7 linked regions of the Cricetulus griseus genome follow. The protein of the gene in region 6 interacts with the protein of the main gene of each other region in a pairwise test. Links are inferred from orthologs where the notes say so. Each region holds a gene or a part of one and is shown on either strand. Other genes may lie near its edges.

Region 1 (4,320 bases), on a different chromosome or scaffold from region 6:
ACAGGAGCTATAAGGAAAGGGGTAGATCCAAGACCCCCACCATTCAGAGACACCCCTTGCTTAACTTCCACTGGCTGATCCTACTGTTGGGCAGGAGTACCTCTCATGCCTTCCTGGTCAAATAAACTACTGTCTCAGGTAGAAATGCTAGTCCAGACTTGACTAGCGAGGATCGGCCTTGGGGAGGGGGCCAGAGAAGACCCTTTTGGTGTGGAGCCCCAAGATCCAAACAGATGCACCAGGCTCTGTGCATCCAGGAGGCTCTCCTGGCTAGATCTAGGGTAAAGCCTTCTCAGACTGATTGTGTTCATGGCCAGCCCAGAAGCTGAGAAGGTCCCAGCCTGGTAGGGCCAGGACTCTATAAGGCTGGGAATGATGTCCCACACTTCCAAGCCCCACCCAGGCAGGGCAGGTCACACCTGTCCCATACAAAGATGCACAGAATTGTCTTGAGGAATGTGTACCATAGAGCATCAGACAGTGGAAGCCCCTTACAGGAGGAGATGGAGTTGGCTCTCAGCCTGTGGCAGGACTAAGGAATGTAGGCCTGCCCCCACCTACCTGGCCAGGATCCCGGTGATTGAGCTCCATGGCGCTCTGCTCCCCACCCTTCTTGGCCATCCAGGGCACCCCGCCCAGCTCTGGCCTGACTGGTTTGGGAGACTAATCCAGTCTCCTAGATCCCTGCCCTCTGTCCCAGGGCAGCTGTTGGGGGCTCCAGGCTTTTGTTGTAGCACCATGGATGAAGGTGAACTGTGCCTTGCCTACCAGACTTTTCTGCCCTCATCATTTTAGGCTGTCATCTTGAACTATGCTTCTCACTGTGGGACTGGACTGGCGTAATTGTGGGCCTCTGGCCACTTAGATGTTCAGGACACATTTACTTGGGGCAGGATGTCTTTATGGGGCTGCAGATGAGTGTATGGAGTTAGGGGTGCTAACGGGGGTGCACAGCAGGCTGGTAAGCTGCCAGGATCTCTGCACTGTGTGGACATGTATACTTGAACTCCTTCTCCTGCAGTGCACTGTCCAGGTAGCGGCGGACACCACACAGTTCCTCAGGGATGGGCATCTGGCGGAAGTGCGCACACACGGTCTGTGGGTACAATGGAATGTGATGAGGGGCCTCGCTCGATGGCCCTTCTCCCCGCATCTACCAGCTGGTCCCTCACTCACATCCACAATGTGCAGCTTGGGCAGCAGGCTGCAGTCAGCCAAGGTAAACTGGTCACCATCTAGGAAGCGGCGTCGGGACTCTCGAAGTTGTGGCTCCTGCGCCAGTTCGTGGTCTAGTGGTGCACGCAGGTAGCTGTCCAGCCTGGTCAGGGCCCGGAGCAACTGCTGATACAGGGCTTAGGGGCAATGGCACATTGAGGACTCTACCTTGGCCTTCCTTGGGTTGGCCCTCCTGCCCATACCTCCTGGCCTGTGTCTCACCATTGTCCTGTGTAGGCACTGGGTTCTTGATGAAGGCAGAGAACTTGTGGAAGATATCATTTCCTGCTGTGATGGATTCCCTGTACCTAGGCGCTAGGCTAGGGAAGCTGTAGGTGTGAGTGGTTTGAGAACTCCAGTCAGATCTTCACATACATTGTCTCAAAGTGCCCTTCCTAAGTTTTCTCCCAACTGTACCCCCAGGGGGTCCCATCTTTGCCCTCCTGCCCCACCAGGTGCTCACTCAGGTGGCCTCAGTGTTGCCTCCAGAAACTCTTCAATCTGCAGTGTGTCTGTCTTCACATCCCCATCATAGAGCAGGATGGGCATCTGTGAGCCTGGTGCGAAGTCCTTCAGCACATCCAACGCCCTGTGGACACCAGGCAGAAGGGAGGTGGCTGGCCTGAGCGGGGCAGAAGCTAGGGAGGGGTCCAGGGCTGTGTCTCACCTTCGTGTGTCCACTGTGGTGAGTGTGAAGGGCACACCCTTGAGGAGTAGGACCATGAAGAGCCGCTGACAGGAAGGGCAGTGGCCCACACTCTCACCATCTTCACTGGCCTGGGTGGGTGGAGCAGGGGTGTTGGGCTGGGAGCAGACCCAGGAATCCTGACACCTGGCTGGGTGGGAACCTGCCTCCCACTGCCATTGGCTCTGGAGGCACCCTAGGACTCTGGCATGGTTGGGCATGGCATCTACAAGTGTCTAGTGAGGGCCCTTGACCTGATCCCTGGAATGGGGAAAACAAGGGAAGCTGGGAACTTGAAGGCAGGTAGGGACAGGGCCTGGGTTTGGGGCCTTCCACAAGCTTTCTTCAGAACCAGAGAGTTCCAGGCACAGAGATTGACAACAGGATGGGGTAGGCCAGAGAGTCATCTTCCAAGTGATTAACCCACACAACTAGGTATTGAAGCTAACAGCTCAGCTCAGGGAAATGACCAAAGAGGAGGCCAGGACCTGCCCCCACTCAGATCTGGAGCACTGGCCTAAGCTAATGGGGCCATCTGGCACATGAACCTGAATCTCTAGCTAAATGTCTACCAGATTGATACCTCCCCACCAAGGGACTTTCTCCCAGAGCTGGGCCAAGTCCAGGAGCCAAGGTGAAGAGACCTTGGCTATCTGATCCCCCCCACTCCCACCCGGCTATGGGAGCTCCTCCCCCAACCTGCCTGACTCTGTTCAGCTCTGTGTGGGGCAGCTTCAGCCCACCACAGGGGAAGAACACCCACAGGAAAACCCATCCCCCCCAGCCTGTACAAGAAAACAGAACACCCCCTCCAGCCCAGCCTGCCCAGAACCTTCACAAACAGCTGGAGCTTGGTGGTTTCGGCCATGGTAGGAGCTGAGGCATCCGGCGGCAGCACAGGGTGTGCCTTGGGAGCTCTTTAAGTCTCCCTGGATGCCCCACCCTCCCCAGTCTGTGGGCCCGCCCCACAGAGCCACCTAGGCAGCAGCTAGGTTGCCAGGGCAAAGCCAGTTGTCTGTACAAGACCAGGGTGTCCATGCATAACAGTGACCACAGGGAGCCTGAGTCTCAGGGCCGGCTGTAAGTATAGGAAATTGGCTCACAGCAAAAGACTGAAGCCTCGGCATGATTGTGTTGGAGCCAGTGTGGTGAATGCAGACAGGAGGGTGAAGAGGCCAGGAGAGACCTGGGGTTTAGGCTACTACTAGCCCTGAAGGCACTGCTTTGCCTCAGAACCATGCTACACTGATCTCAGGCCAGGGCCTGCCTCGAAGCCCCCTGTAGCATATTCTCCATTGTCAAGTCCTTATTCTCAGAAATCTAGGGCAGAGGGATGAGTGGGAAATGCCTCAGTTTACCAGTCTGTGTGATAAGCTCTTCTGGAAGAGATGCCCACTCCCTCCCACAAAGCCCAGTCAGGTAGGGCCCTCTGCCTTCAGGGCAGCCCCACATTCCTGATGTGTTCATGGCTGGCAGTCTGATGAGCCTGGTTTTGCTGTTTAACCCAGGTAGGCAGAGGATTTCATACCCCATCCTGTTCACATGGGCTCAGAGCAGGCTTCTTACTCTTAACCTAAACCTTCAGATGGCCCCAGGAAGGGTTAGAAGCTGCTACCTCTGGCTGAGGAACTGAGAATGTAGTACCCAGCAGGAAGGAAAAGGCCAGGGTAGTCTGAGCCTACAAAGCACATACCTGCCGCTCACTCAGTCTCCCCGAGCCCACTGGGGTCCACAGTGTGAGTTCCCTTGGCATTACTTGTGTCTCTGCCTGCGTTTGAGTGCAGGCAGCCTTCCAGGAGGCGTGGCCTTCAGAACTTACGCTCACATAAAACTGGCACTGCCCACGGCTAAGAGGACCTGTTGATTGCTCTCCCCTCTCTAGTAGCTTGGTGCCATCCAGGCTGGATAGAGCAGCCAAGGTGTCTCCATACCTGCCCACTCACCTGCTCATATGCCAGACTCTGGCCAGTGCCTCAGCTGTCCCAGGCTTCCCTCTTTCTTAGCCCTGTCTGGTCACTTCCCTGACCTCAGCTGAGCCCCCAGACAGGTGGAATGCAGTTCTGATGTCCTTGGGGCTCGGATTTGTTCCAGAGTCTCAGTTTCTCCTCTGACTCTCCTCTTAATTCCTAGAGCCAGTTTTATTTTGGCTTCTCACTGCCAGAGTCAGATTTCTGCTTTGTGCTTTTCTGTCCTTTGCAGACAGATCACCACTGTAGGCCCTGAAGCCTTTCCAACCAAGTGGTCACCAGACATGCCCTGTGTTTATATATTTTTACAAAGCTGCCCTTAGAAATGCACAGGAAAGGGTGACGTGGATAAACAACATGAGTAGTGGCATGGAGGAAAAGAAACAAAACATATCTCAAGGAACAAGCCAGAGGGATGAAGGATCTTTACTGCTACAAGCAGAGCTATGGACA
Region 2 (4,165 bases), on a different chromosome or scaffold from region 6:
TCCCCTAGCTTCTACATTTTTTTTTTTTTTTTAGTCAGGGTGCCCTTATCTCTTCCAATCTCACGTTCATCTGTCTCCACGTGCTCAGGCTCCTCCTGCCCGGCTGGTGTCACCTGACTGTTGAAGATGGGCCCCGGGAGATCCTGATCAAGGAAGGGGCCCCCTCACTTCTGTGCAAGTACTTTCTGCAGCAGTGGGAACTCACATCCCCCGGCCATGATACCTCAGTGCTGCCAGACAGCGTGGAGATCGGCCTGCAGACCTGTTGTCACATCTTCCTCAACCTGGTGGTCACTGCACCAGGGCTGATCAAGTGAGGGGCTTGGGAGAGGCTGGGAGGAAAGCCAAGGAAGCAGAGGGGCTGTCCTGTCAGCCCGCTCTCAACCTTCTCCTTAGCTTCCCTGTGTCTGTAGTTTTCTCTTACTGTTAGTGTAAGCAGGTTTCAGAACAGACAAAGTCAGTCCCACTCGAAGATGTGTTGTATTCAGAGCCCCAGGTATCTCAGGGCATGTCTGTCTGCTCCAGCCATCACTCAGCTCAGTCAGCTGGCATCTGACCAACCCAGATGGCAGTCAAAAGTTAACACTTCACCCTGCTGCGTGATGTCCTGGCAAACCCTGGTCAGGTGAAGCTAGAAACCATATGCCAGGTTTTCCAAAGGGCTTGACCGAGTCTGCTAACCCTCTGCCTGCCACCCCCCTCCCCCTTTTCTCCCCAGGCGCGATGCCTGCTTCACATCGCTTATGAACACCCTGATGACATCACTGCCCTCACTAGTGCAGCAACAAGGGAGACTGCTTCTAGCTGCCAATGTGGCCACCTTGGGCCTCCTAATGGCCCGGCTCCTCAGCACCTCTCCAGGTAAGCCTTGGGGACAGAATACATGAGTTCAGAACCTGAGCCCTCACTTTCAGAACATGGTGTGGCAGAATTTTCCCATTGAAAGGTAATTTCTACAGTATCGCTCCATCCTCCACCCCCACCCTTCCCAAAATGATAACAGTCTCTTCCTTTTAAATACTTTTAAGGCAAGGCCTGGTGGGTGTTTGGTACAGACCTGTTCAGAGTCACAAGCATAGGCACCTGGAATCCCTGGCAGCCTGGGAACTCTGAATCCCGCGTTTTCAAGGTGGAGCTGCCCCCACCCAGGCCCTGAGTCACAGGCGTGGTTTGCTGCATTGAGATTTTTACCACTTAGCACCCCACCCCACTCAGTGACACGCATCAGCTTCTCTCTGCCCTCCCTCCCTCTGGCTGTGTGCAGGGGGAAGGGCGTCCCCTCCAGCCCCTGACAGCCCTCAGTGTCTCCCACTTTGACCGTGGGTGTCTGCTTGGGTCCCTCTGTCCCCGCCTGTTCCCTGTGCCCCATCTGTCAGGTTGGAGGAACAGAGCAGATGCCTGGGAACAGGGTGTAATGTGCCCATACCCTCAGCTGCCTGTTTTTTGTGTGGGGATCCCAGCAGGGTACCTTGCTGTGGAAGGGGGAACGTATCCCTGAACTAGGAACCCCTTGCATTTAGCCCTCAAGGAGAGTCACTATGCTTTGGATCCAGTGCTGGGTCACCCACAAATGCTACCACACTGGTTGAACAGCTTCCTGGAGATCCAAAGAGGGGGCTCCTGAACCCCTGAATAGCAGATGGGCCAGAGCTGGGTCGATGTTCATCATCCCCTTTGGCGCCCTCTTCTGGCAAGAAGTCAAATTAGTTCATTCTCAGCCTGGTGAAGGGCTCTGAGCCCTCAGCTGCTTGGGTCCCTACTGTGGAAACCCCAAGGAAGGCTCTTTCTTACATCTGACATGAGGCTTACTCCTACCTCTTGTGCATTTAGAGGTCTTGATGATGGAGTGTACCTAGATTATTTAATTCTGACAACGTGTTGCTAAGATTGGCGTGCCACTGGCCCCATCTTAAAATGAAGAGACTGAAACCCAGAAAAGTTTAAACACCTAGTATCACACTGTAAGTGTTAAAGGTAGGCTTTGAACCTAGGCAATGTGAGTCCGGGTGATGCTTCTGCTCTCTGAGCATGGGAGGGAATTAGTCCAGTGTTTGGCCTGTCTGGTTCATACCACTGCCCTCTCCATTCTTTCAGCTCTCCAAGGAACCCCAGCCTCCCGAGGTTTCTTCGCAGCTGCCATCCTCTTTCTGTCACAGTCCCATGTGGCACGGGCCACCCCTGGCTCTGACCAGGCAGTGCTGGCCCTGTCCCCTGACTATGAGGGCATCTGGGCTGACTTGCAAGAGCTCTGGTTCCTGGGCATGCAGGCCTTCACGGGTTGTGTGCCACTGCTGCCCTGGTTGGCCCCTGCTGCCCTGCGCTCCCGCTGGCCACAGGAATTGCTACAACTGCTAGGTAGTGTAAGCCCCAACTCTGTCAAGCCTGAGATGGTGGCTGCCTACCAGGGTGTGCTGGTAGAATTAGCGAGGGCTAACCGGCTGTGCCGGGAGGCCATGAGGCTGCAAGCGGGTGAAGAAACAGCCAGCCATTACCGCATGGCTGCCTTGGAGCAGTGCCTGTCAGAGCCCTGAGGGGCATCCAGTAGGGATAGACCCAGGGGCGGGCAGCGAGGGAAGGAGGGAGGAGGCATCTTCCCTGAAGCCCCCAAACTGGACCCTTCTTCAGACTTCCCCTACAAACACCCCAGCTTTCTGGCTTTTCTGAGGGCTAGGGCATGATGCCCACCTCTTAAGTATAAGGAACTGCATCCTGCCCCCAGCCCCCTTGGGGCAGGGATTGGCTTGGAACAGAGGTTGGCCCCGCCAGGCCGGGGAAGGTTGGAGCAGCCCCAGAACGAGGGCAACTAAGTGTCATTATACCCAATGTCTGGCTCCCTGACAGAAGGGAGGTTCCAGGGTAGGAGCGGGCTGGCAGGCGCTGACTGCCTCAGCCTATGTGCCCTGCCGGCCAGGGCGTGGCCTCCCCAAGGCTGTGGTGCCCCTTCTGGCTCCCCAAGGTCCGCGCCCTTTATATTGGCCATTTGGTTCTTGCCTTTAGTCCTCTTGGACGGAGAGCAGGCTCAGGCCATTGACATCGCAGTTCTTCCTTTCAACTTTAGTGACCCAGGGTCCGACATGCCCCTGTCCTTCCAGGGCAATTTGGAGCAGGCAGACCAGTGGGGGGGTGGGGAACCTCTTTCCACCTGCGCTTCCTTGAGGGAACCCAAGAGCCCTTGGTCCCAGGTCTCTTGAGCTTTTGTGTCATGTTGCAGCAGAGTGAAGATGGGGGTTGGGGTTATTTATTTTGCTTGTCCTTATCCTTGCTTGGAGACCTGAGCATCAGATCCCTGTGCCCCTGGTGCCATCTGGCCTGGCTGGAGCCAGGAGCAGGAGGTTACACCACCCTAGAATCCGCATGTTTTCCCAGTGATTGCACTCCACTGCCACCGTGGTGCCTGGCTTCAGCTCCTCTACCCCAATCCCTGCTTAGACTCCTGCAGGGAGACGCGACTGGCGGCTCCAGCAGGAACTACCTTTCTGAACCCTTGGAGACCCGCATACTCCTGACCCCTTGCTTCACCCCACCCCCGCCCCCAGTGCGTTCTGTGACCGCCAAGTTCAAAGCTGTGTACATGTGGACACTCAATAAATGTTCATTGGTGATGAGAAGCCGCCTTTATGCTCTGACCTTCACCACTCTGCCTTTCACACTCTACACTCTCACCACTGTCTGCTGAGCCAATGTCCTTCTAAATACTTAGCTGATGCTCTCATTCATCTCTCCCAGGAGCTAGGAAGAAAGCACCATAGCTGTGGTTTTACAGGCAGGGAAGTCTTAGACACACCCTGCCCTAGTACAACAGGTTCATAAGACCAGATGTTGATGTCAGGCATTCAGACAGAAGCACTGTCTGTTTGCATCAACTTAGTTCCAGGGTCATTGCCATATCCTCCAATTAAAAAAAAAAATGTTATTAGGGTATGTGGTTGGGGTGGGGTGCATGTCCCATAGCACTCGTAGAGGTCAAAGGACACCTTTGGAGTTAGTTCTCTCCATCTTTGTGTGGGTTCTGGAGATAGACATTAAGTTACCAAGCTTATATGGCAAGTACCTTTACCCACTGAGCCATCTCACAGGCCGTGTTCCAACTCCTAAAGAAATCAGAAATCCTAATTTTTATTTGGAATCCAACTCAGACATTAAGAACCTTACTTTCAACTAAGTC
Region 3 (4,165 bases), on a different chromosome or scaffold from region 6:
AAATGGATCTCTCTGAATTTGAGGCTAGTCTGGTCTACAGAGCAAGTTCCAGGACAGCCAAGGCTACACGGAGAAACCCTGTCTTGAAAAAACAAAAACAAAAAAATTACTTTTTCCAAAAAGTAAGAATAAATGAAAAAAGTATGTACTTTTGAGTATACTTTAATAATTTTAAATTATAATTAAAAATATTTTATGTGTTAACATGTTACAATAGTTGATGTTTTATATATAAGGTCACCCTAAGTGCTTTAAAGTTGCACAGAAATTAACATCATTTTCTAAAGAAAGTTTTGCTCACTTTTTCAAAGTTTAGATTGAAAATTTGGGTGCTATAGAAAGGCTCCAGAAACCAAGTTGAGGTTCTCTAGAGGTTTGCTTGTGACCTTGGCAGAAAAATAACTGCTCTCCTTACTGTGGCTTCTGAGAAAGAAAACACTTGAGCCTGGCCACCTGAAGTCCAAGTTCAGACGGCCTCTCATGGCAGCTGTGTATCTTGGAGAAATTCTGGTCTTTCTGGGCTATGGCTTCCTATTTTTCTAAATGAAAGACCTGTGCTCCATCCACCCAGAAGGTCCACCTTGCTTCTTTCCCAGGTAAAGCCCACTCCCCCACCCCATGCCACCTCCCTGCCACCATCTATCAAAATGACCCTGTAGCACTAATCCAGATATATATATATATATATATATATATATATATATATATATATAGAGAGAGAGAGAGAGAGAGAGAGAACCTACCCATTTGTAGGTGCTTCATCTAAGTGAAGTGTAAAAGATTCACTGCCAAGATCTCTTGAGGACAGTAGAAGCAGGAGGCACTGCTAGTCACCCAGAAAGAGATGGTGGGGCTCACACCAGGCCAGTTGGTTGGCCCTGGAGTCTTCTCCGAGGGGTAATCAAATGACTTTGTGGATTCAGAGTATCTAATCTATCAAGTGTGCAATTCAAGGCAAAGATTTGGAACAAAGAAAGGAATGTGGAAATCATTGGTTTGTTGATAGCACTGAAACCTTGAGCTGGTACTAAGCATTGAAGAGATGAACAAAGGATCAGGGATTAAGGAAAAGGAGGAAGGGCTCAGAACTTACCATTGGGTCTGGTGGTTGCCCCTGGCAACCTTAATGGAAACAGTTCTCCAGATGACTGGGGAGAGAAGTCTGATGAGAGTACATTTAGGAGAGGACAAGGACATAGGAATTAGATGCAGGTTATCAGTAAGCAGACTAGGGGTGTCACAGGAAAGTGGCTGTTGTTAACTTGGAAGAGAGCATCATGTCTGAATGATGGCAGAAGGTTCCAGTAGAGATCGAGTTTCGGGTGGAGCATCAAGAAATAAGAATAAGAGATACTTGTCCTTCAGTAGGTGAGAAGGGAAGGTAGATGGGCTTGGCTTTTAGCCAGAAGCCCAGATGGTTCCCAGTGGTAAGTGGCACAGAGATATGGGGGTGGGGGCATCATGTTGCTCTTAGGATTAGTCTTCACAGTGAGGAAGGAACATCAGGAAGAGGTGTTAAAAGTATATGGAGAGAGGGATAATATGGGCCAGGTTTCCTGTTTTGGCTAAGCCCCTAAATAAAACCTGTGCATAATCCTGAGTTGTCAAAGTGCATGAAAGGAGAGGAGAAGGAGAGCACCCAGGATTTCACTCTCTGCACCCATTTCCTGAGTAGACCTTCCAAATGAACGCTCTGTAAGACCTGAGTTTGTGTGACAGCCCTAGGTGATGTTCCAGGGGCATAAACACATATTCTGAGAAAGCCTGTCACTTTCCAAGCTCCTCTTATGTGATTTCATAGCCTGCATTGTCTTGTGTGACTGTTTACAGCTTCAGTGTCACTTTCCACAGACATTGTCCCAGTCACCCTAGGCCTAACGAGCACCCCTAGAGCTAAGCAAAGCTGGTGTCACCTGCATGTACAAGTGAGGTCGTCACTCCTAAGGACTGACTCCAGCAACCTTGAGAGTGTAGAACTCACTGACTATGAAACCGAGGTCATGTACATTGAAAGGAAGGAACAACACATCACTAGATGCTGAAGGGATGGGCTGGTGCTAAGTGAAACAGAATGGCCTCTGAAAGCATCATTGTCTAAGGCAGTTTCAGGAGGGTGTGTGGTCTGTGGGAAAGGCCTGAGCCTGGGCCCCTGCCCCTTCCCTCTGTATGCTTCCCGTGGTCAGCCTGTTTCGCAGGCTTTGCTGCCTAGCTATGAGACAGGTCAGATGGTCTCTCCAGCTCTTCTCTCCTTTAGAGACCTGTGAGTCTAAGGTAGCTTTAGTATGAAAATTGATTTCAGTTTGCTTATGTAACATTTGTTTATTTCATGTTTAATCATTTATATCATAGGTTGAATCATTTTTGTCATAATTTCATTTTGAATTATAACAGAAAAACTTATAGATTATGTTGATTTAATGAGCCATAATCATAGTCTTTAAGATGCAGAGAATGAGAGTTTTTGTTAAGTAATTTAAAAACCAAACCTTATTTAAATACTATTCCAAAATGTTTTTGCTGATCCTGTGGGGTGACCTAGTTACTTACTTGTCCACAAATATAAATATAATTTTACTTTGCATGATGGTACTGTATATGTTATGACTATGAAGCATTTCAGTTGTATTTTCCTCAAGAGAATCCTTAGATATTGATCAGTGGAATAAAGTTATTGAACAGCTAGGAACACCGTCTGCAGAGTTCATGAAGAAACTTCAGCCAACCGTGAGGAATTACGTGGAAAATAGACCAAAGTACCCTGGAATCAAATTTGAAGAGCTCTTTCCAGATTGGATATTTCCATCAGAATCTGAGCGAGACAAAATAAAAAGTAAGGTATTCTTTTATTCTATAATTGTTTCTCTAATGTTTGAGCTCTAAAACCCATGTATGTTAAGAACCCTGAAATAGCATCTCTTATGGTCTGACATTTGAATGCACCACAGAGTGAAAACTTAAAGACCAAGAGTCTTGACCTTGCTAAAACAAAGTAAAAAAAAAAAAAAAAAAAAAAAAAAAAAAAAAAGGCCAAAATTAAAATGTCCAGACCAATCTGGACAACCCTTAGGTTATGGGTTAGAAGATGCCTGCAAGTATGAGGACTTGGATTGTGTCCCTAACATCACACAGAAAGCCCACACATAGCTGCATATGCCTAGCAGGTCAGTGAGAGATCCTGTCCTAAAGGAATAAAGGGGAGAGCAATAGAGGAAGACACCTGACTCCCTCTTCTAGCCTCAGAATACATGGTAAAACACACACACACACACACACACACACACACACACACACACACACACACACACACACACACACACACGACTCATTGTGATGTCAGCAATCCAAATTCAAAATGTTTTCAAATGCAAAGAACTTCAGTTCAGTAAGTTCACTTCAGTAAGGATTCTAGACAGAAACTATTGAGTGTGGCCCAGTGAGAATGGCCCTTCCTGCCCTTCCATGCTCTTCCTAGACTGTGATCACCTGAGAAAAAACAATGGCTTTGTCTCCTCTACCTCAGGGTGAGCAGCACCTGGGTCAGGAAACCCTAGCCTTTCCTTGGTTGTATATTGTGAGCTTTTCATTGAGACCTCATTGAGCCTTCTGCTTAATTAAGTTGAGCTTGTTGGTTTTTTTTTTTTTTTCCTAACTACTAGCCCCTAGATTGAAAACAAAAAGTGTATACTGTCAGCATTGTATATGGCTAGGCAAAGCAGAGAAACCTCTGGGCTGTGGGTACTGGGAACATTTTTACATTGTTCTACTGTGACAGAAAAATACTCCTGGTGCTTCACGTCCATGCTCCTGGCAACACCACCCTAAAGAGGTGCTTGCTGTCTTGTCTCCTGTGCCGCTTAGCATTAGGTCATCTGGACACTGGTCTGAGGCTGCCACCTCTGCTGCTTCCATCTCCCATGCTAAAAGCCTGGTCTGTGACGGTGGCCATTGGACTTTTAAAGGTTGAAAGCTGTGATCTTGAACCCCTTAAACATTTCTTGAAGTCGGTATATTCACATTTGGATCTTTATTGTGTTGTTTCCTTTTTTCCGTGGTAGCAATGTAAATATGTCATTTGTTTGCACTCTAGCAAGTCAAGCCAGAGATCTGTTATCGAAAATGTTAGTGATTGATCCCGACAAGCGGATCTCCGTGGATGAAGCCTTGC
Region 4 (4,751 bases), on a different chromosome or scaffold from region 6:
CCTTCTTGCAGATTCTTATGGCCAAGAGCACTTGGCCCACCTGGAAAGGTTCAAATACATGTCTTGCGTGGCATTCCCCTGCTTTGAGGGCAGAACTAGAGTCCCTAGTAGGGATGAGGTGACAGTCCAGGACTTAAGTTTAGGCTGACTTTGAAAAAGCTCTCTGGCCTGGCAAGGGGCAGAGAATTCTAAACTTAATGGAACCCTTCCTCATTCTCTGGCCTCTTTCTACAGGGACACAACACTGGTCTGCTACCTTTGAGAATCACTACACTGAACTTCCAGGAGACAGTAAATGTAGACAGACCAATATTAAAACTCTAATTACAATGCTGATAGGATAGTGGTCTCTTATCTCAAAGCAAAGGAAATATTTTGAGAGGGTTGTTAAAATTGTAATTTTTTTTTTTTTGAGAAAGGATTTCACTGTGTATCCCCAACTGAGAACTCACTCTGTAGACCAGGCTGGCCTCTAACTCACAGAGAGCAGAGCCCCCCCGCCCCCGCTAAAACTGTAAATTGTTTTAAAACACAAAGTAAATTACCATCAATCTTATATTGAAACCATCGTGCACAGATTCAGTCATTAACACTAAAACAAAGAACACAATCCTTTGCAAAATCCATTTATCTTAAATATTAACAAGTTTAGTATCTAAGATGTTTAAACTATTTTTATATCATAACTTTAACAACTTTTAGAGATTCTTATTATTTGAATAGTTTCATGCAAAATGTAATATAGTCAATTTACCTCTTCTGTCTCCCTTAAGCTACTACTTTTTTTAAATGAAAGCAACTAGCAGTTAATTCTGAAATACTTTACACTAGGACACCAACTAAAGACATTTTCTAGAACAATTTCTGTAGGAGAGAATATCAAAAATATGTGAAACCACCAGATGATAGCGCACACCTTTAATCCCAGCACTCAGGAGGAAGACAGAACTCTGAGTTCAAGGTGTACATAGTGAGTTCCAAGCCAGCAAGGGCTACACAGTGATAGGTGAAACCTCATTTCAAAACAGACACACAAACAAAAACTTCAATCAATTTGTTAAAGTTTACTTCTAGAATCAACCCATTTACGGTAGAAATTATTCACAGTTTTAGAGTCAGGTGCAATTCACAAACCAAACCACAGCACAAACACGTAGGCAGGCACACAAGGACCCCGAGTCACCCACTTCTTTCCCATAGCAATGGGTAGAAGGTAGTCCTTACCAAAAGCCTTCCGTATAATTCACAACTACCTCAGTATTGCAACAGGACACGTTATAACTAATCTTGATGGGTAAGAGATTTTGCCCAGCTGTGAGTACACGTTTGTAAAGACAAGTGAGCCTAACACTTGTGCTAGTTCGGCAGTAATGAAAGGCGAGACAGTTACCAAATGTTGCATGTGACCAGCTGACGGCTATGAAGAAGAAGAAGAAGAAGAAAAAAAAAGCTGCAAAGGGAAAGCAGCTGTAGCAGTATGAAAAGGAAAGTTTGTTCTAGCTCTCTTTCATCCACTTAGGTCGGATGCTTTTCCAAGTCACAAAAGAAACATTGTGTCTATGGCCCAGAAAGTTAGCTGAGATTGTGACCAAACTGGTCAGGATGAAAAAAGAATGTGAGCGGTGAGCTCAGCACAGATGCGATTTCTCATGATTCAGTTCTTTACAAAAACAAAAGCACTTGTTCAGGCTGGTGAGGAAAGGGCCAGAGATAAGCTTTAATCATGATTAAGGAAACCCCTCCTCCGGGATGCTGAGGACACCTGGTCCTTTCTGGACTTTGTGTTGCTGGATGTGAGCATGCACGTGGAGTCTCAGCAGAACCTGCACTTTACAGCTGAGGAAATCAGCTTTACAAATGTTAACTCACATGGTCACATATGGCTGGTCCTTTATCTCAATCTATAGTGGACTTACATAGGGATAATCTGTGATTATTACAGCCAATAAAAAAAGCATTAGACCTTGAAAGCCTCTAGGTGACACAACTATGATTATCGGTACCAGGAACTGAACCTATGGCCTCGGGAATGCTAAGCATGAGCTTCTGCCACTAAACTACACCCAAAGAACCACAGTTGGCTATTTACTGCAGATCTTCACCCCACCCCCAGCACACCCATATGTATTAAATAGCTATCTTTCGGGGGCGATTTCTTCAGGGAAAATTCATCCCTCTTTCTCCAGGAACCTATCCACTTGTCTCTAAATGCCATGACAGGAGATGCTGCCTGCATGACATCTTCTGACACCTCTTCTCAAGATCCTGTTGTAAATGCCTTTTGAAAAATTCAGACAGTATTAGAGGACTTCCCAATCCTTAGAATCCTTGCACGAAGAGTAGCTGGACAATTGCAGATAGAGACAAAGCAACTGCATCAGCACCTAACAACTAACTTCCTGGGAAAAGAAAAACGAGACACTCGCTAGCCCTGCAATGTTTCTCATGACTCTCTAACAAGCCTCATGCCCGGTCTAAGGCAGGATCTCCAGAACTGGCCTCTACTCGCAGTCCTTAAAAGTTTACTGAAACCAAATGCTTCTGAGCTTCTGCCGCACAGCCCCAAGTTGGGTGGTACAAGAAGATGAAGATGTCCGGTTAAGGTTTTGGGCACCAACCCCCATTGGGGCCTCCCTGAGTCCCACTAGTTATAGCCATAGCCACACAATAGTGGACCCACAGGCACACCGACCATCCGCAATGAACCGAGGCTGGGCCTTAGACACAGACACAAACACACACGGATATGGATCACGTGCATGGTCACAAGGACCGGCCCACCCGTGGACGACACTCACTAGTCACGCATGCTCGATACACACCCACCTACAACCCTACACGCACCACACACCCTCACTCCGCTTTCCAAGGCCTGCCCCTCACCTGCCGTGGCCACCCCCGCGTCCCTTTCTCTCCAGCCCAAACGGCTCTTCGGCCCGGTTCGGGCGCTGCGGAGGCAGGCGGCAGGGCGCGGGTGGGCCGGGCGGCTGCAGAGCAGAGGCTCCGCGGGCGCAGCAGGTAGAGGGGGCGCGCGGCTGAGCAGCCAGAGGCCGCCGCCTCCCAGGTCTGAATCCCGTAGCTCCCTGGGGCGCGCCTCCCGCTTCCGGGTTCTGAGGGGCGGGGCCGGACAGCGAGGAAGGGGCGGGGCTCTGGCGGTAACTATGACAACGAGGCTGGCGTGGAGCCCCGGATGGGAGCTTCTGTGCTCGCCCGAGCGCAAATGTATTGGAGCAATGCAGAAGCTGGCGCCAGTGCTGGCGTTGGGTCAGGGTCCGTCCTAGGTCACCTGTCTGACATAAGCACCAGGAGAAAGCTATGGCAGTGAAGTCTGTGCTTCTGCCTTCAGTTTTCGGGTGGCTCGTGCTTCGGGGGAGACATCTTTGGGTTCTAGCTTTGGTGAATAGAGCTTGATGTATTTGGTTGGTTGGTTTGGTTTACTTTTTGGTTTTGGTTTTTCGAAGCAGGGTTTCTCTGTGTAGCCCTGGCTGTCCTAGAACTCGCTTTGTAGACCAGGCTGGCCTTGAACACACAGAGATCGTCCTGCCTCTGCGCACTTCCCGCCTTGTGCATGCGCTACCACCGCCCGGCTATATATTCTTTTTTAATTAGCATAAGTTAATTAAATCACAATAACGGCTTCATTAGGACATTTTCATATCTACATAAAGTATTCTGGTCATCACCCTGTTAGTCTTTATCTTCCTCTCATGCTCCCATCTCCTCCCTCTTCTTAACTACATACTTTTTCTCAACAGAACTAGTTTTCTCTGTACAGTTACAGAGATCCTCCTCAGACCTCCTGTCCAAACTGTCTCCTTTTGCGGCTTTGTGCTGATGTTGAGGGGAACATACTCAACACTAGGCTTGCCCTCAGACACAGGTCCTCTTCTGTAAGGCTCACTCTAATCACTGTTCTTACAAAAGAGGGTGCAGATGTTATGACTCCTTTCAGTAAGTAGTTTTGCTCTGAAATAATGTATGATCATATTGAATTATCTGTAAATCTTGTTTGAAAAATTTTAAGAATCTTATAGCAAGATCTTAGTGTTTTAAGGAGAACTTAAAAATATATCTTTTTAAAAAAATTTTATTTATATAGCTTCACATGTCAATCCCTTCTCCCTCTCCCTCCCTCCCCAACCTCCCACCAGCCCCCCCTCCCCCCTCCACTCCCCAGGGAGGGTAGGGCTCTCCATGAGTGCTCCCCAAAGTCCACCACATCATCCTGGGCGGGATCTAGGCCCTTCCCTATGTGTCCAGGCCGAGACAGAGCATCCCTTCACGTGGGATGGGCTCTCAAAGTCCCTTCTTACACCAGAGAAAAATACTGATCCACTACCAGGGGCCCCATAGAGTGCCTAGGCCTCCTCATTAACATTCACGTTCAGGGGTCTGGATCAGTCCTGTACTGTCCTCCCAGACAGCATCTGGGGTCCATGTGCTCCCCCTTGTTCAGGCCAGCTGTTTCTGAGGGATTCACCAGCCTGGTACCGACCCCTTTGATCTTCACTCCTCCCTCTCTGCAACTGGGTTCCAGAGATCAGTTCAGTGTATAGCTGTGGGTGTCTGTCTCTGCTTCCATCAGCCACTGGATGAGGGCTCTAGGATGGCATAGAAAGTAGTCATCAGTCTCATAGGGGAAGGGCATTTAGAGTAGCCTCTCCACCATTGCCTAGATTGTCAGTTTGTGTCATCCTTGGAGATCTCTGGAAATCTCCCAGTGCCAGATCTCTCCTCGGACCTACAATGGC
Region 5 (4,165 bases), on a different chromosome or scaffold from region 6:
TTTTATCTCTATGGGCCTCACAATCTTGAAGTATCTTGAGTTCTTGGGTATAATAATGAACTTGAGGTTGATTTATAAATGTAGAGTTACTGGCTATATAAGGGAGTGAATGAGATTTTTCAAAATTATACTCATGACCTGAATTTTTACATCGTTAGTACCTTTCAATTCAAACGAGCAAGGAAATCTTAAATAAAAGACACTTTAAATCTTAGGTCAAGCCTTTATTTCCAAACCACTACTAATGCTTGCATATGTGCTCAGATGTTTAGCAGCAAGACTGCTCACCTGTTGTTGTGGGGGTCGCTCGAAATGTTCCTGACACCATTTCACCCAAACTGGAGGAAGAGTTTCCACTCGATTTCCTAGACCATGGAAACAAACTTAAGACTCTCGCCCCAGATCCTTTGAAAACAGAAACTGAGAATCCAAGGTGTTCTTTGGCCTTCTACTAAATAATTCAAAACATACCAAAGCTTGTTAGAAGAGCTTCGGGAATCTGCTCAAATGATTTCGCTGACCTCATTTCTCAGAGAAAGTGGAGATCTAACTGAGACTTGGAAATGCTTGGCAAATTCTCTTTCCCTGTTATTTGTGCAAAAATTGGGCAGAAGGACCCCTGGCAAGGATGCAATGTGGAGATATGTGTTTACCTGAATTCAAGTACTGAAGTACCAGTCAGAGGCCAGACAGCTCAATACAAGCAAGAGGACCTGGAGAAATGCTTCTTAAGTGTATGGGGTCGGGGATGTCCCACAAACTTTTCCTGCTATCAACAGTAATGGGGCTATCAATAGTAAGTCATGTATGTTTATAGCCCAATGATGAGCAGTTCTGTCACTTACTGCCTGTGGAAAATACTGCAACACATCTTTGGGTGTTTGTTTTCCCCATCTATGGAAATAGGAGTTATCTATACCTTACAGAGAGAAGCTGACAAATTAGCTTCTGTGAATGAGCCCTTGGTATTATTGTTTCTCTTGCCTTGAAGTAAAAAAAAAAAAAAAAGTGTGTGTGTGTGTGTATAATAGCGACAATGGTGGGAGATTATTGAGACACTTTTTAGTAGGAGACAATCAAGGCAAACAAGAGAAATAGGTAAAAATCTAATTTTTCTGAGAGTAGTAAGTATAATAGAAACAATTTATTTGGAAAGAGATGGAAATGCAGGGAAAGGGTGAGTCTGGAGTGGATACAACTTAAAATACAGTGGGGAAGGAAGGAGTCACTGGAACGGCAATAAGCACCTGAAGGAGATGGAGTGATCTGGTAACAGCAAAGGAGGAAGAGGTACCCAGTAGGAGGAAGGAAATGCAAAGGCCCCCTGGAAGGGCCAAGTGTTCCTGATGTGCTAAGAAGCATAGAGAATGAAATGTCTAGGGCAAAGGGAACCAAAGGATTAATAATAAAACACCCTAACAGAAGATTAATCATTAGAATGGTGCTTAACTATACCTCTATGATCTTCCATTACTATTGAAAGGTTTTCATTAGGGAAGACTTAAATAGCACAACATTTTTTTTTATTTAGAAAAATTAACTGGAAAGAGAGATTGAATAAAAGGAAAGAACTGCTTCAGTCAGACATGGCGATGCACAGTTGTGATCCAGCACTAGGGTGTGGGGCTGGTGCAGAAGAATTGCCTCACCAAAGGGAAGCCTGAACTACATAGCGAGATTGTCTCACAGCAATAACATTAGCAAAACTTGCTAACACATTTGAAATCTGTGCTTCAGGGCAGGTAGCAGTACCACTGAGACCCAATGCAGTCAGGACTTCTCTCAAACTGCTCACCCTCCTGGGACCTGCCACTTGCGCTCTGAAGTCTGTGTGCTGTTTCCTTTGACCATGGGAGGCTGGTACATTGCAGCTCCCCAGTGTCTTCAGCACAGTGTCAGCAGAAGATGACGGCACAAGAAACCAAGTAAAGAAAAGTGTGCCCAGGACTGTCCCGCACCATCACATTCTGAGTTTATTGGACACAGCTTTTGACAGAGAACCAAGCAAAACCACAACACTTGGTCATGTCAGCTGCTACCTGAGCTGTCTTGAGAAATGAGGCCCCATGTAACTCTCACAGAAGAAAACTAGGGTTTGCAGATAGGTTTTCTGAGCCCACAGGAAGCAGCTGCCACTGTGGAATTCATGTGAATTTCTGAGTTGCTGGAGTTCAGAACACAATGGAACCCCAAACCTTTGTGTCCTCCTCAAGAACAGTATGTGTGCAGTTAAGTGTCCCTTTGCTTTAAAAGTAGGCTCTCATTGGGGTGAAGGCAAAGAGAGTCTTCAAGAGCATGTTTCCAAGATAAAATAGAATCCAGCTGAAAACAGAGGTTAAGTTAAAAGAATGAACTGCTTCAGCCAGTTTTTAATAAGAAACTTGAAATTTTACCCACAAAATAAAGTAAGGAAGAAGGGAGGGAGGGGGGCAAAAGGGGGAGGGAGGGAAGAAAAAAAGGCTAGCTCATGAAGAAGATGGGATGTTACCCGCCATGGAATCGGCCTCTTTTCTGTTCTTGCTGAATACGTATGTTCTCCAACCGAAGAGGACTTGGGATGAAGCCAATCTCGCAGCCCTCTTTCACCAGCCTTCCTATCCACCAATCATTGTTATATTTCTGAAAGCAGAGAGGAAAGCTGCTATCAATAGTAATTCAGTTAACCTCACGTCTCAGTGTTTATTTCAGGGAAGCAGAGGGATCAAATGCTAGTCACCTGATGTACGAAGCCACATTACACATACAGTGCATAGAAACCACCAACACCGTGCTTTTGTATTTTGTAGGAAATGTTTTCAGTTGATAGACTAAAGGAAGATTCTTCAGGGGTCTTATTTGCAATGGCCTGAATGGTAAATATGATCTCTACTGTAACTCGTGGATTCTGCTGTCCTACTATCACAAAGACTCAAGAGCATGGTTGTGTTTCAATGTAAGTGAGCTAACAGTCTGTCAGCACAGTCTTACTCAGATTATCAGCAAAATCACATTGGCAATTATTGATTTACTGAGTCCCAGGGCAGATGTCAGTTTAGTCTAAGCCATCTGCCTCAAGAGAATGTTTCTACTGGTAATTTCTAGAAAATAGATAGAAATCATATTGTTTAAGCCTTCCAGGAATGAGTACAAAGGTGCCTTCATGGTCTTTATCAGCATTGACAAGAAACTCTTTTCCTCTGTGTGTGTGTGTGTGTGTGTGTGTGTGTGTGTGTGTGTGTGTGTGTGTGTGTGATGTAACATACCAACTCTAGGATTAGCACAGAGGAAAGTGGAATTTACATTAACTCTAATACTGACATTGTAACAAGGAAGAACGAAAGCTTCATTGAATCATCACGGCATGAAATTCTAAGTAATTCGGATAATCCCAAGTAACCTTCTCATATTCAGCCCTTTCTGCACAGAGCCCCTGCAGAAGCCAACCTTTGTGCCCATCTTGAGACTGAGCTGAAAGGAGCATGAGTTGATGTGACAGAGAGACTCCAACAATCTGACTCTTAGTTTCCTGTCTTTAATTCAGGATAATACACCTGAAATAACAGTCCTGCTTATTTTGTAATTAAGAAAAGGCAAGTGGACCCTTTTGGACACTTTGGTGCGTAGGTTTGGAGTTTACATTTTACTGTGACAGGGACAACAGACTATGAATCAGAGTTTCCTAGGGCTTCAGTTATTTCCTGAAATTAAGTCAGCCTACTGGGGCACTAATTTGTTAAGTTGTACCCCGGTGAACTTAAGGGCTGCTGCCTAAGATGGCTAATTCGACTTCCCAAAGGGGTTTACTGTGGTTCTAAGAAACAGCTATGGAACACCGAGCCTCTGACTCAATGTGAGTGACAGTTCTCTGGCCACTGGGGAGTGAGGTGCTGTGCAAAGTCATGAGCTTCAGTTCTCTCTGTTTGACTTTGGAACAAGCACCATTGTGTCTTTTCTTGACCTTTAAGCCTTTCCATTATTGAGAAAACAGAAAGTGTGCTGGTACCTGAGAGACGGCATAAAAGGAAGAAGTCGGCCCATTAGGAAGCATGTCCGTCCATGTTGCTGGTGTCCCAGGGGTTGAGCCCCCTTTCGGGAAAGGCCCCCTTAGCACCATCCCACCCTTCCTCATTTTGCCTTTGATTTCCCCAAAGTGATTAGTATGTTCTCTTTCTAAGATGCTTTTTAT
Region 6 (4,817 bases):
CTAGCCTCCCAAACGCTGGCATTTTGGATGTGTCATACCAAACCCATTTTCTCTTGGCTTCTTTAACTGACCTATTTATGTGGCATTTGTCCTAGGGAGTGAAGGATTGCCAAACTTTGGCATTATGTAATTCACCTTCAGAATTAAAAATAAAGCTATGTGCAGTCCAACATATCCATTATATACTTAACAACTCTGCCAATTGAATCCCAATAAAGCTAAATATTTTAGATCCAGTTGATAAAAGGGGAAGTTCATAGTAAGAAAAAAAGGAACAAAGTGGTGTCCTTAAATTTGATGCTGAGTCTAGGGCCTTCTTTTGTTGTTGTAGTTGCAAAGTGTTTCAGAAGCTCACGATGAAGTCAGTGTTGTGCTGTCAAACTGAGACTTTTCCTTTACAGAAATGGAGAAGATAGAATGGAAATCTGTCATCATACTTGGAAATAGGACCTCAATGTTATCGTGCAGGGATTTTTTAATGGTGCATTTTAAAAATTAAATTTATTTATTATTTGCCCTCCATTCGCTCCTCTCATTCCCCTCCCCAGCCACCTCTCCTCTTCATGCCCACCCCAATCTGCTCCTCCCTGTTTCTGTCCATGGATGTCAACAAAACATGGAATATCAAATCACAGTAAGACTAAGTAAGCACTTCCCCTTGTGTTAAGGCTGGGCAAGACAACCAACCCAGTGTGAAGACTAGGTTCCCAGATTCCAGGTAAAGAGTCAGAGACAGCCTCTGATCCCACTGTTAGGAGTCCCACAAGAAGACCAAGCTCCACAACTGTCACTTATGTAGAGAGCCTACATCAGTCCTGTGCAGGCTCCCTGGTTGTCATTTCAGACTCTTTGAGCTCCTGTGAGCACAGGTTAGTTGTTTCTGCGGGTTTTCTTGTGGTGTTTTTGACACCCCACCTCCCCAGTGTTTCTACAATCCATCCTTCCCCTCTTCTATAGGATTCCAGGAGCTCCACCTAGTGTTTGGCTGTGGCTCTCTGCATCTGTTTTCATCAGTTGTTGGATGAAGCCTCTCTGATGACAATTGGGCCGGAAACTAATCTATGAGTATAGCAGAATATAATTAGGAATCATTACATAGAATTTTTTTGCCAATCATGTTTGGTTCTATCCTAGGTCTCTGGGCCATCCAGCCTCTGGGTCCTGGCACTCCAGGCAGTATTAGGGGTAGGTTCACTTTTGTGCCATGAGTCTGAGGCTAGACCAGTTCATTGCTTGGCCACTCCCACAATTTGTGTCACCCTTACCCCAGCACATCCCATGGGCAGGACAGACTGTAGGTCAAAGATAAATGGCTGGGTTGGTGTCCCAGTCCCTACACTGGAAGTATTGCCTGGTCAAAGGAGATGGCCAGTTCAGGCTATGTATCTGCTGTTGCTAGGAATCTTAGCTGGGGTTATCCTTGTAGATTCCTGGGAGTTTTCCTTGCATCAGGTTTCTACTTGACTCTGAAATGCCACCCCCATTTCCAGTCAGTACTCTCTCTCTTCATCCACCTCCAACCAGATCCCTCACTTTCCTATTCCCACTCACCCACTCATACCCAGGAGATCGCTTCCATTTTCCCTTCCCAGTGAGATCCGTGCATTCCCCCTTGAGCCTTCCTTTTTTACCTAGTCTCTCTGGGTCTGTGGATTATAACATGGTTATCCTTTAGTTTACAGCTAATATCCACTTAAAAGTGAGTACATACCATGTCTATCTTTCTGTGTCTGGGTTACCTCGGTCAGGATGATTTCTAGTTCCATCCATTTGCCTTCAGATTTTCTGATGTCATTGTTTTTAACAGCTGTACCACATTTTCACTATCCATTCTTTTTTCTTCTATTTTTTAATTTAGAAACAAGCTTGTTTTACATGTCAATCCCAGTTCCCCGTTCCCTCCTACCCTGCCCCCCACTAAACCCCTATCCCATCCCCTTTCTGCTTCCCAGTGAAGGTGAAGCCTTCCATGGGGATCTTCAGAGTCTGACATCACTATCCATTCTTTAGTTGAGGGGCATCTAGGTTGTTCCCAGGTTCCGGCTATTACAAACAATGCTACTGTGAATGTAGTTGAGCAAGTGTCCTTGTGGTATGATTGAGCATCCTTTAGGTATATGCCCAAGAGTGGTGTAGCTGGGTCTTGAGGTAAATTTATTCCCAAGTTTCTGAAGTACAGGGATTTTTATAAAATTTTAAAACAACTTTAATAATATATTGTTATTCCTTGATAATTTCATACAAAGTATCTTCATTAATTAACCCCCTAACTCCTCCAACAACTCCTCTGACATTCACCCCTCCTCCTCCCTCCCCCACTTCATGTCCTTTTTCTTTTTGTTTTCCATTTTTATTTAAATTAGAAACAAGATTGTTTTACATGCCATTCCCAGTTCCCTCTCCCTCCCCTGCCTCCCACTAACTCCCAATCCTATCCCCTTTGCACACCAGGGAGGGTGATGCCTTCCATGGGGGATCTTCAGAGTCTATCATATCCTTTGGAGCAAGGCCTAGGCCCTCCCCCATGTGTCTAGGCTGAGAGAGCACCCCTCATGTGGAATGGGCTCCCAAAGTCCATTCTTATGCTAGGGATTAGTACTGATCTACTACAAGAGGCCCCATAGATTTCCAAGGCCTCCTCACTGACATCCTCGCTCAGGAGGTCTGGATCAGTCCTATACTGGTTTCCCAGCTAGCAATCTGGGGTCCATGAGCTCCCTCTTGTTCAGGTCTGCTGTTTACATGGGTTTCACCAGTCATGGTCTTGACCCCTTTGCTCATCACTCCTCCATCTCTGAAACTGGATTCCAGGAGTTTACTTCAGCGTTTAGCTGTGGGTGCCTGCTTCTACTTCATCAGCTCTAGGATGGCATATAAGGTCAATCTCATTATCAGGGGAACGCATTTAAGGTAGCACCTCCACTGTTGCTTAGATGGTTAGTTGGGGTCATCCTTATAGATCTCTGGACATTTACCTAGTGCCATATTTCTCTTTAAACCTATACTGGCTCCCTCTATTATGGTATATCTCATGTTGCTCTCCTCTATTCTTCCCACAACTCAACCTTCCTGCTCCCTCATGTCTTCCTCTCCCCTACTCTTTCTCCTAGCTCCCTCTCCCCTACCCCATGCTCCCAATTTGCTCAGGAGATCTTGTCCCTTTCCCCTTCTCTGGGGGACCATGTATGTCCTTTTTTTTTTTTTTTTAAGAAGATTCTATCTTGAAGCAGATGTTCTGGTCCTGTTGATCTCACAGTTCCTCTGCCACCTCTTCCTTGATGTTGCCTGAGCCTTAAGTGTAAATGTATTAACCCGGGACAAGCACCCATGATCAGTCGATCTGTGCGTTTTGACCAGTTGTGGTTTTCTGCAATCCCTGTCTGCTGCACAAAGAAGTTTCTTTGATGAGGGCTGGAGCTACATTTATCTGTGGATGTAAGAGCAAGCATTTAGAATGCAGTTAGAAAATTATACTTGTTTAGTGAGGTGGAAGTATTAGGTTCTCCTTTAGGGTCTGTAGTCTTAGATATGAAGTTCCATTGAGTGGACCTTAAGTCCAGTTAGGTGACTATTAGTTAACCCTGGGCTATCTAAGTACCACTATATTTTTTTAAAGTTTTTTTCCGTAGTTTGGGGAATAGGACCCCAGGCCTTATGCCCAAGGCAGACACTCTACTACCAAGCCTGAGACAACCCAGCTTGGAAGGAAGACATCTTAGTTCAGGTAGACATGGTAGGATTTAATCTGTCTCAAGAGCCTCATGTAACCAACATGGTAGTTGCATCTCTTACAAATCTGCCATCTTCAGATGATCATCTGCTTTTGAGTCCATGCTACCAATCTGTCTTCAGATGTGTTACATTATCTGGCCTCTGTGTCTTAGCTTTGACTGTGAGCTTGACACAGATTAGAATCACCTGAAAAAGGATTCTCAATTGAGGGACTTTGTAGATAAGCTTGGCATGTTGGCACATCTGTGGGGGATTATCTTGATTGCCTTACTTGATATGGGAGAGCCCAGCCTACTGTGGGCATTGCCTAGGCTGGCAGTCCTGGGCTTTAATTGGAAAGCTAGCTAAACATGAGCCAATGATTGAGCAAGTCAGCAAGCTATGTTTATTGCTTATGCCTTCAAGTTCCTGCTTGAGTTCCTGTCCTAACTTTCCATATATGGACTGCGACCTAGAAATGTAAGCCAAATAAACCCTTTTCCTCCCCTAGGTTGCATTTGGTCAGAGGATTTTATTATAGGAACAGGAAGTAAACCAGGATAGCCTGAAGCCCTTGGGAAATCTTTAATGGCTCCTCCCTGATTGTTTTACCCAGATCAAATTTTAGTTTGGGCAGCCATTTAATGTATCACTCGAGGTTTTTGGACTTCCTAGATCTGTAGCAGTATTGTATTAAGTAGATATACCATAGCACCAGAATTTAAAAAAAAATTGTCATATATGCTGGGTATGGTGGAACACACCTCTATCCTTGCTTCCAGAGCAGCTGGGGCAAGAGGATCTCTTGAACCCAGGAGTTTCAGGTTGGTCTGGATAACATCCTTCCGTATATGTGCACTGCAACTGAGATCACAACCACTCCAGCCTCCCTGCTTTCCACGGCTGCATATGATCCTGCCTCAGCTGCTTGGTCTTGTGAAATGCTAGAGTATTGGATGTTCAGGAAATTAAGGTTGACTGTGGAAAGGACTCCCCTCCAGTGATGCAGCTTCCATGAGGCATCACTCATATCAGGGTAGGACTTTTTGGAGATGCAGCTGCTCGGGAGTCAGCATGCTCTTATATGTAGCCCCAACAAACTCATT
Region 7 (4,015 bases), on a different chromosome or scaffold from region 6:
AGAGGGTGACAACCCCCTAGAGCCATGGTTCTCAACCTTCCTAGTGCTGTGACCCTTTAATACATTTCCTCATTTTATGGTGACCCGCAATCATAAAATTATTATTATTAATATTTGGTTTTTCGAGACAGGGTTTCTCTGTGTAGCTTTGGAGCCCGTCTTAGAACTTGCACTGTAGACCAGGCTGGTCTCAAACTCACAGAGATCCGCCTGCCTCTGCCTCCCGAGTGCTGGCATTGAAGGCGTGCGCCACCAACGCCCGGCTTTCCAATGGTCTTAAGCGACCTCCTGTGAAAGGATCCTTCGCCCTCAAAGGGTGGAGACCCACAGGTTGAGAGGGAAGCTGGCTGGGAAGTGGAGATGGGTGGAGGGCTGGTCTGAGGGAGGAGGCAGCCCGAGGGACAGTCGGGTGATACTGGGTAGGGCAGAGCAGCCCGTGGGCCCAATCCGACGGATACACATACACGGCCAGCCCGGAGTGGAAAGAACAGTTTATGCTGTGCTTTATTAAAATGTGCATCATTCTTTTATTTTAAAATGTGCATCATTGTCTCGTGCTCGGCGCGTGCGACCTCAGCGTGGTGGCCCGCGGCTGGCCTCGTCCTGCCCGGCTCCTGCGGAGCTGCCGTGCGCAGGCGCACTCAGGTGGCACGGGCCCGAGGGCTCCCGCCCATGGCCAGGTAGACGTCGATGGGCACGTGCAGCAGCGTCAGACAGTGGCAGCCCGGGCAGCGTCGGAGCGGCCTGGCGAAAGCGGCAGGCGACAGGGGGCGCATAGTGTTGGAGCGTGCCCGGGGGGCGCGCCTGGGGTCCTCTAGGGTAGGGCCGGGGGATGGCGATGGGGCGGGGCCGAGGGGCAGGGCATCGGCCTCACCTGACAGGGTTATGATCCGTAGCTACAGGCTCCGGGCTGTCCTGGGACTCGGGGGCGGAGGCAAGGCCAGGGGAGTCTCCGGCCTCAATGGGGAATCTTCGACCCTGTGGGGTCTCCTGGGCACTCATGTCCAGGCCCCGGGGCACTCTGCGCGGGGAGTGGCGGTCAGGCGCCTGGGGGCCCCGGGCGCTCCCTGCCCGTGCCGCCTCCTGTGTGTGGCTTACCTGCCGGAGGCCGAGGCCGGTCCCAGGCTGGAAGCAACTGCCCGAGCCCTGGCCGCGGGAGGACGCTCCGGTCCAGGCGGAGCCTGGCAGGTGTCTGCTGCTCGCTGGGGCCCCGGCGTCGAAGGGGAGGGCTGCATTGTGACCCCGGTCTGTGGGTGCTGACCTCACACAGCCTGTTCTCGCTGGAATTCTAGGCTGTCCCAGGCCATTCGGGCATTTAGTGAGGGCCTGAAGCCGGAGGGCTCTGGCGACTGCATCTTGGTGACCGGTTTGCACTATCCCCCAACAGCTCGATGAAGACTTCGGAGATGAGGGTGACCGAGCCCACATGGAGAAGCCCCGCATCCCTGCTCTACACAGCCACCCAGGCCCCTGCTCTGACACTGTTACCACTCGGTGCCTTACTCATGAATGACTTAAATGAGGCTGGGTTTCCTGGTGGTGGTGAGGGAAAGTAGGGACACTGCCCATGTTGTCTGAGGGTCACACAGCATTTACATCACAATTGGGCAGGAGTTTAAAAATGTCTGGTCCTCTCCCTCCCCACCACCTGTGGCTGTGTCCAGACGGAGAATGTTCTAGCCCTGGAGGCGGCTGTGGATGAAGTCCTTGGGGGGAAAAGAAGCAGGCCAAGGGCGATGGTGGAGTAGAGCTGCCTCGAAGAGGCAGCATGAGCTGAGAGGGTGACAAGAAGGAGGCGCTACACAGCATGGAGGACTTTCTACTCTCCAATGGGTACCAGCTGGGCAAGACCATTGGGGAAGGGACCTACTCAAAAGTCAAAGAAGCATTTTCCAAAAAACATCAAAGAAAAGTGGCAATTAAAATTATAGACAAGATGGGAGGGCCAGAAGGTGAGCTGGGGCCCTTTGGAGGGTGGGCTAGCCAATGTTGGCAGGTGCTTTTCTCAAACAGTTCTTCTTTCCTTCTAGTCAGAATGACAGTAAACAGATTACTGCCCTGAGGTCTGTAGTAGCCCTAGGCACGTGGAAAATCCAGGATCATTGCATCTTCCCACGTCCACAAAGCACAAAGCAAAGGGGCCTCAGTTTTTCCTTTCCCAGAAGGTGTTGGCTAGAAGATGACAGGAGCCTGTGCCAAGAGGTGGGAAAGGGACAGGAAGACAGGGCTTCTGGGAAGAACCCTGGGATTCGATAGCTTTGTCTGGTTTTCAAGCACCCCTTCATCTGTGGTCTCATGGGTTGCAGGGAGGAGGTTCCAAGGGTGAGTTAACCCTGAGATAATAAAAGGTCATACTTGCCGCTAGAACATCTGAGACTATTCAGGCAGTCAAGGAGGGACAGACAGAAATGGTGAGTGTCCAGAAGCCAGAAGACGGGAGTCAGGAGGGAGGAAATTAGACCCTTCTGATTTTGATAGCCCCCTTTGTCTCCCCGCTTCCCCCAAAGAGTTTATCCAGAGATTCCTGCCTCGGGAGCTCCAGATCGTCCGCACCCTTGACCACAAAAACATCATCCGGGTGTATGAGATGCTGGAGTCGGCAGACGGAAAAATCTACCTGGTGATGGAACTGGCTGAGGGAGGGGATGTCTTTGACTGTGTGCTGAACGGAGGGCCACTTCCCGAGAGCCGGGCCAAGGCCCTCTTCCGCCAGATGGTTGAGGCTATTCGCTACTGCCATGGCTGTGGCGTGGCCCACCGGGACCTTAAGTGTGAGAACGCCTTGTTGCAGGGCTTCAACCTGAAGCTGACCGACTTTGGCTTTGCCAAGGTGCTACCCAAGTCACGCAGGGAGTTGAGCCAGACCTTCTGTGGCAGCACAGCCTATGCCGCTCCCGAGGTACTACAGGGCATACCCCATGATAGCAAGAAAGGTGATGTCTGGAGCATGGGTGTGGTCCTGTATGTAATGCTCTGTGCAAGCCTACCTTTTGATGACACAGATATCCCCAAGATGCTGTGGCAGCAGCAGAAGGGGGTATCCTTCCCCACTCATCTGGGCATCTCAACCGAATGCCAGGACCTGCTCAAGCGGCTCCTGGAACCAGACATGATACTCCGGCCTTCAATCGAAGAAGTTAGTTGGCACCCATGGCTAGCAAGCACTTGATAAAAGCAATGGCAAGTCCTCCCCAATAAAGTAGGGGGAGAAAGCAAACCCAAAAACCTGCTTCTAAAATGGTGATATATATCTTACCCTTTAAGTTCACTTACTCCATAGCTTACTCCCACCTCCCCAAGGCGGCCCAATAGGCCCCTTACCAAGACATCTTTTCCTCGAACAATCCTCCTGGAACCAAGGGCCTTACACCCAGACTTTTATTAATTGTTCTCTATGTTTATAGATGTTTAAAGTTCATTAAGTTAGACCCTAAAATCATCATGGGCAGGGAGAAGAGAGAAGGAACATGACCCACTGGAACCACTCAGGTGCTACAACTTGCTTCCCAAATAAAAGCATTTGGGATGCAGAGATTGAGAGGCTGGTTCTCATCCCGTTCTCAGACTAAAGGCCTCAGGAGACGGGCTATATCCCACCTGTGCTGCCAAGGTCAGGCTCATCCCATTCTCAGACCAGAGCCTCAGGAGCCAGGCTATACCCCACCTGTGCTCCCAGCTCCAGGCAGGGAGTCACAGCTGCAGCTGTAGAAGCCTTTCCAGTATGGGTCCAGTATGGCTGCAAAGGGGACAGAAACATCCCCAGACACTTCTGGCTTCTGTTCAATCACTTTAATGCTGTTATGTCAAATCTGTAAAAGGTTCAGGACAAACTTTTTTTGTTCCTTTTTAATTATAAAACTAACAGCTGTTAGAATTTTTCTTTTTCCTTTTTTTTTTTTCCCTTTTCTTTTCCCAGCTACAAAATACTCTGGGGAGATGCATTATAATTTAAAATATATAATATTGCACAAACAACCAAAAGGTTAATTAAACTAAAATAATTACAAAGAGAAAA

The links.
Region 1: the proteins of Efhc2 (region 6) and Clic3 interact in binary tests that used the Homo sapiens proteins (3 or more experiments, as listed by UniProt). The two-hybrid records come from large-scale screens. The link is inferred for Cricetulus griseus from reciprocal best matches to the Homo sapiens genes EFHC2 and CLIC3.
Region 2: the proteins of Efhc2 (region 6) and Ncdn interact in binary tests that used the Homo sapiens proteins (3 or more experiments, as listed by UniProt). The two-hybrid records come from large-scale screens. The link is inferred for Cricetulus griseus from reciprocal best matches to the Homo sapiens genes EFHC2 and NCDN.
Region 3: the proteins of Efhc2 (region 6) and Mapk9 interact in binary tests that used the Homo sapiens proteins (3 or more experiments, as listed by UniProt). The two-hybrid records come from large-scale screens. The link is inferred for Cricetulus griseus from reciprocal best matches to the Homo sapiens genes EFHC2 and MAPK9.
Region 4: the proteins of Efhc2 (region 6) and Spg21 interact in binary tests that used the Homo sapiens proteins (3 or more experiments, as listed by UniProt). The two-hybrid records come from large-scale screens. The link is inferred for Cricetulus griseus from reciprocal best matches to the Homo sapiens genes EFHC2 and SPG21.
Region 5: the proteins of Efhc2 (region 6) and Cacnb4 interact in binary tests that used the Homo sapiens proteins (3 or more experiments, as listed by UniProt). The two-hybrid records come from large-scale screens. The link is inferred for Cricetulus griseus from reciprocal best matches to the Homo sapiens genes EFHC2 and CACNB4.
Region 7: the proteins of Efhc2 (region 6) and Tssk3 interact in binary tests that used the Homo sapiens proteins (3 or more experiments, as listed by UniProt). The two-hybrid records come from large-scale screens. The link is inferred for Cricetulus griseus from reciprocal best matches to the Homo sapiens genes EFHC2 and TSSK3.

The regions. Positions count from the first base shown.
Region 1 is NC_048599.1:136,811,005-136,815,324, reverse strand, and holds Clic3 (chloride intracellular channel protein 3), read right to left. Parts: upstream 2,769-4,320; coding exon 2,733-2,768; intron 1,993-2,732; coding exon 1,883-1,992; intron 1,805-1,882; coding exon 1,679-1,804; intron 1,545-1,678; coding exon 1,438-1,544; intron 1,353-1,437; coding exon 1,177-1,352; intron 1,097-1,176; coding exon 938-1,096; 3' UTR 913-937; downstream 1-912. UniProt on the Homo sapiens protein: In the soluble state, catalyzes glutaredoxin-like thiol disulfide exchange reactions with reduced glutathione as electron donor.
Region 2 is NC_048595.1:26,291,368-26,295,532, forward strand, and holds the end of Ncdn (neurochondrin), read left to right. Parts: intron 1-88; coding exon 89-313; intron 314-718; coding exon 719-861; intron 862-1,830; coding exon of another isoform or gene 1,831-1,856; exon of another isoform or gene 1,857-1,911; intron 1,912-2,094; coding exon 2,095-2,531; 3' UTR 2,532-3,608; downstream 3,609-4,165. UniProt on the Homo sapiens protein: Probably involved in signal transduction in the nervous system, via increasing cell surface localization of GRM5/mGluR5 and positively regulating its signaling. Required for the spatial learning process.
Region 3 is NC_048600.1:64,342,149-64,346,313, forward strand, and holds part of Mapk9 (mitogen-activated protein kinase 9), read left to right. Parts: intron 1-2,647; coding exon 2,648-2,830; intron 2,831-4,087; coding exon 4,088-4,165. UniProt on the Homo sapiens protein: Serine/threonine-protein kinase involved in various processes such as cell proliferation, differentiation, migration, transformation and programmed cell death.
Region 4 is NC_048597.1:177,057,968-177,062,718, reverse strand, and holds the start of Spg21 (maspardin), read right to left. Parts: upstream 3,103-4,751; 5' UTR 2,884-3,102; intron 1-2,883. UniProt on the Homo sapiens protein: May play a role as a negative regulatory factor in CD4-dependent T-cell activation.
Region 5 is NC_048599.1:121,898,737-121,902,901, reverse strand, and holds part of Cacnb4 (voltage-dependent L-type calcium channel subunit beta-4), read right to left. Parts: intron 2,639-4,165; coding exon 2,489-2,638; intron 366-2,488; coding exon 289-365; exon of another isoform or gene 1-288. UniProt on the Homo sapiens protein: The beta subunit of voltage-dependent calcium channels contributes to the function of the calcium channel by increasing peak calcium current, shifting the voltage dependencies of activation and inactivation, modulating G protein inhibition and controlling the alpha-1 subunit membrane targeting.
Region 6 is NC_048604.1:122,142,817-122,147,633, reverse strand, and holds the start of Efhc2 (EF-hand domain-containing family member C2), read left to right. Parts: upstream 1-1,471; coding exon 1,472-1,648; intron 1,649-4,817. UniProt on the Homo sapiens protein: Microtubule inner protein (MIP) part of the dynein-decorated doublet microtubules (DMTs) in cilia axoneme, which is required for motile cilia beating.
Region 7 is NC_048595.1:23,554,579-23,558,593, forward strand, and holds Tssk3 (testis-specific serine/threonine-protein kinase 3), read left to right. Parts: upstream 1-1,807; coding exon 1,808-1,952; exon of another isoform or gene 1,953-2,507; coding exon 2,508-3,169; downstream 3,170-4,015. Other genes in the region: protein FAM229A, read right to left, coding at 642-744, 875-1,021, 1,099-1,235. UniProt on the Homo sapiens protein: Serine/threonine protein kinase required for spermatid development and male fertility.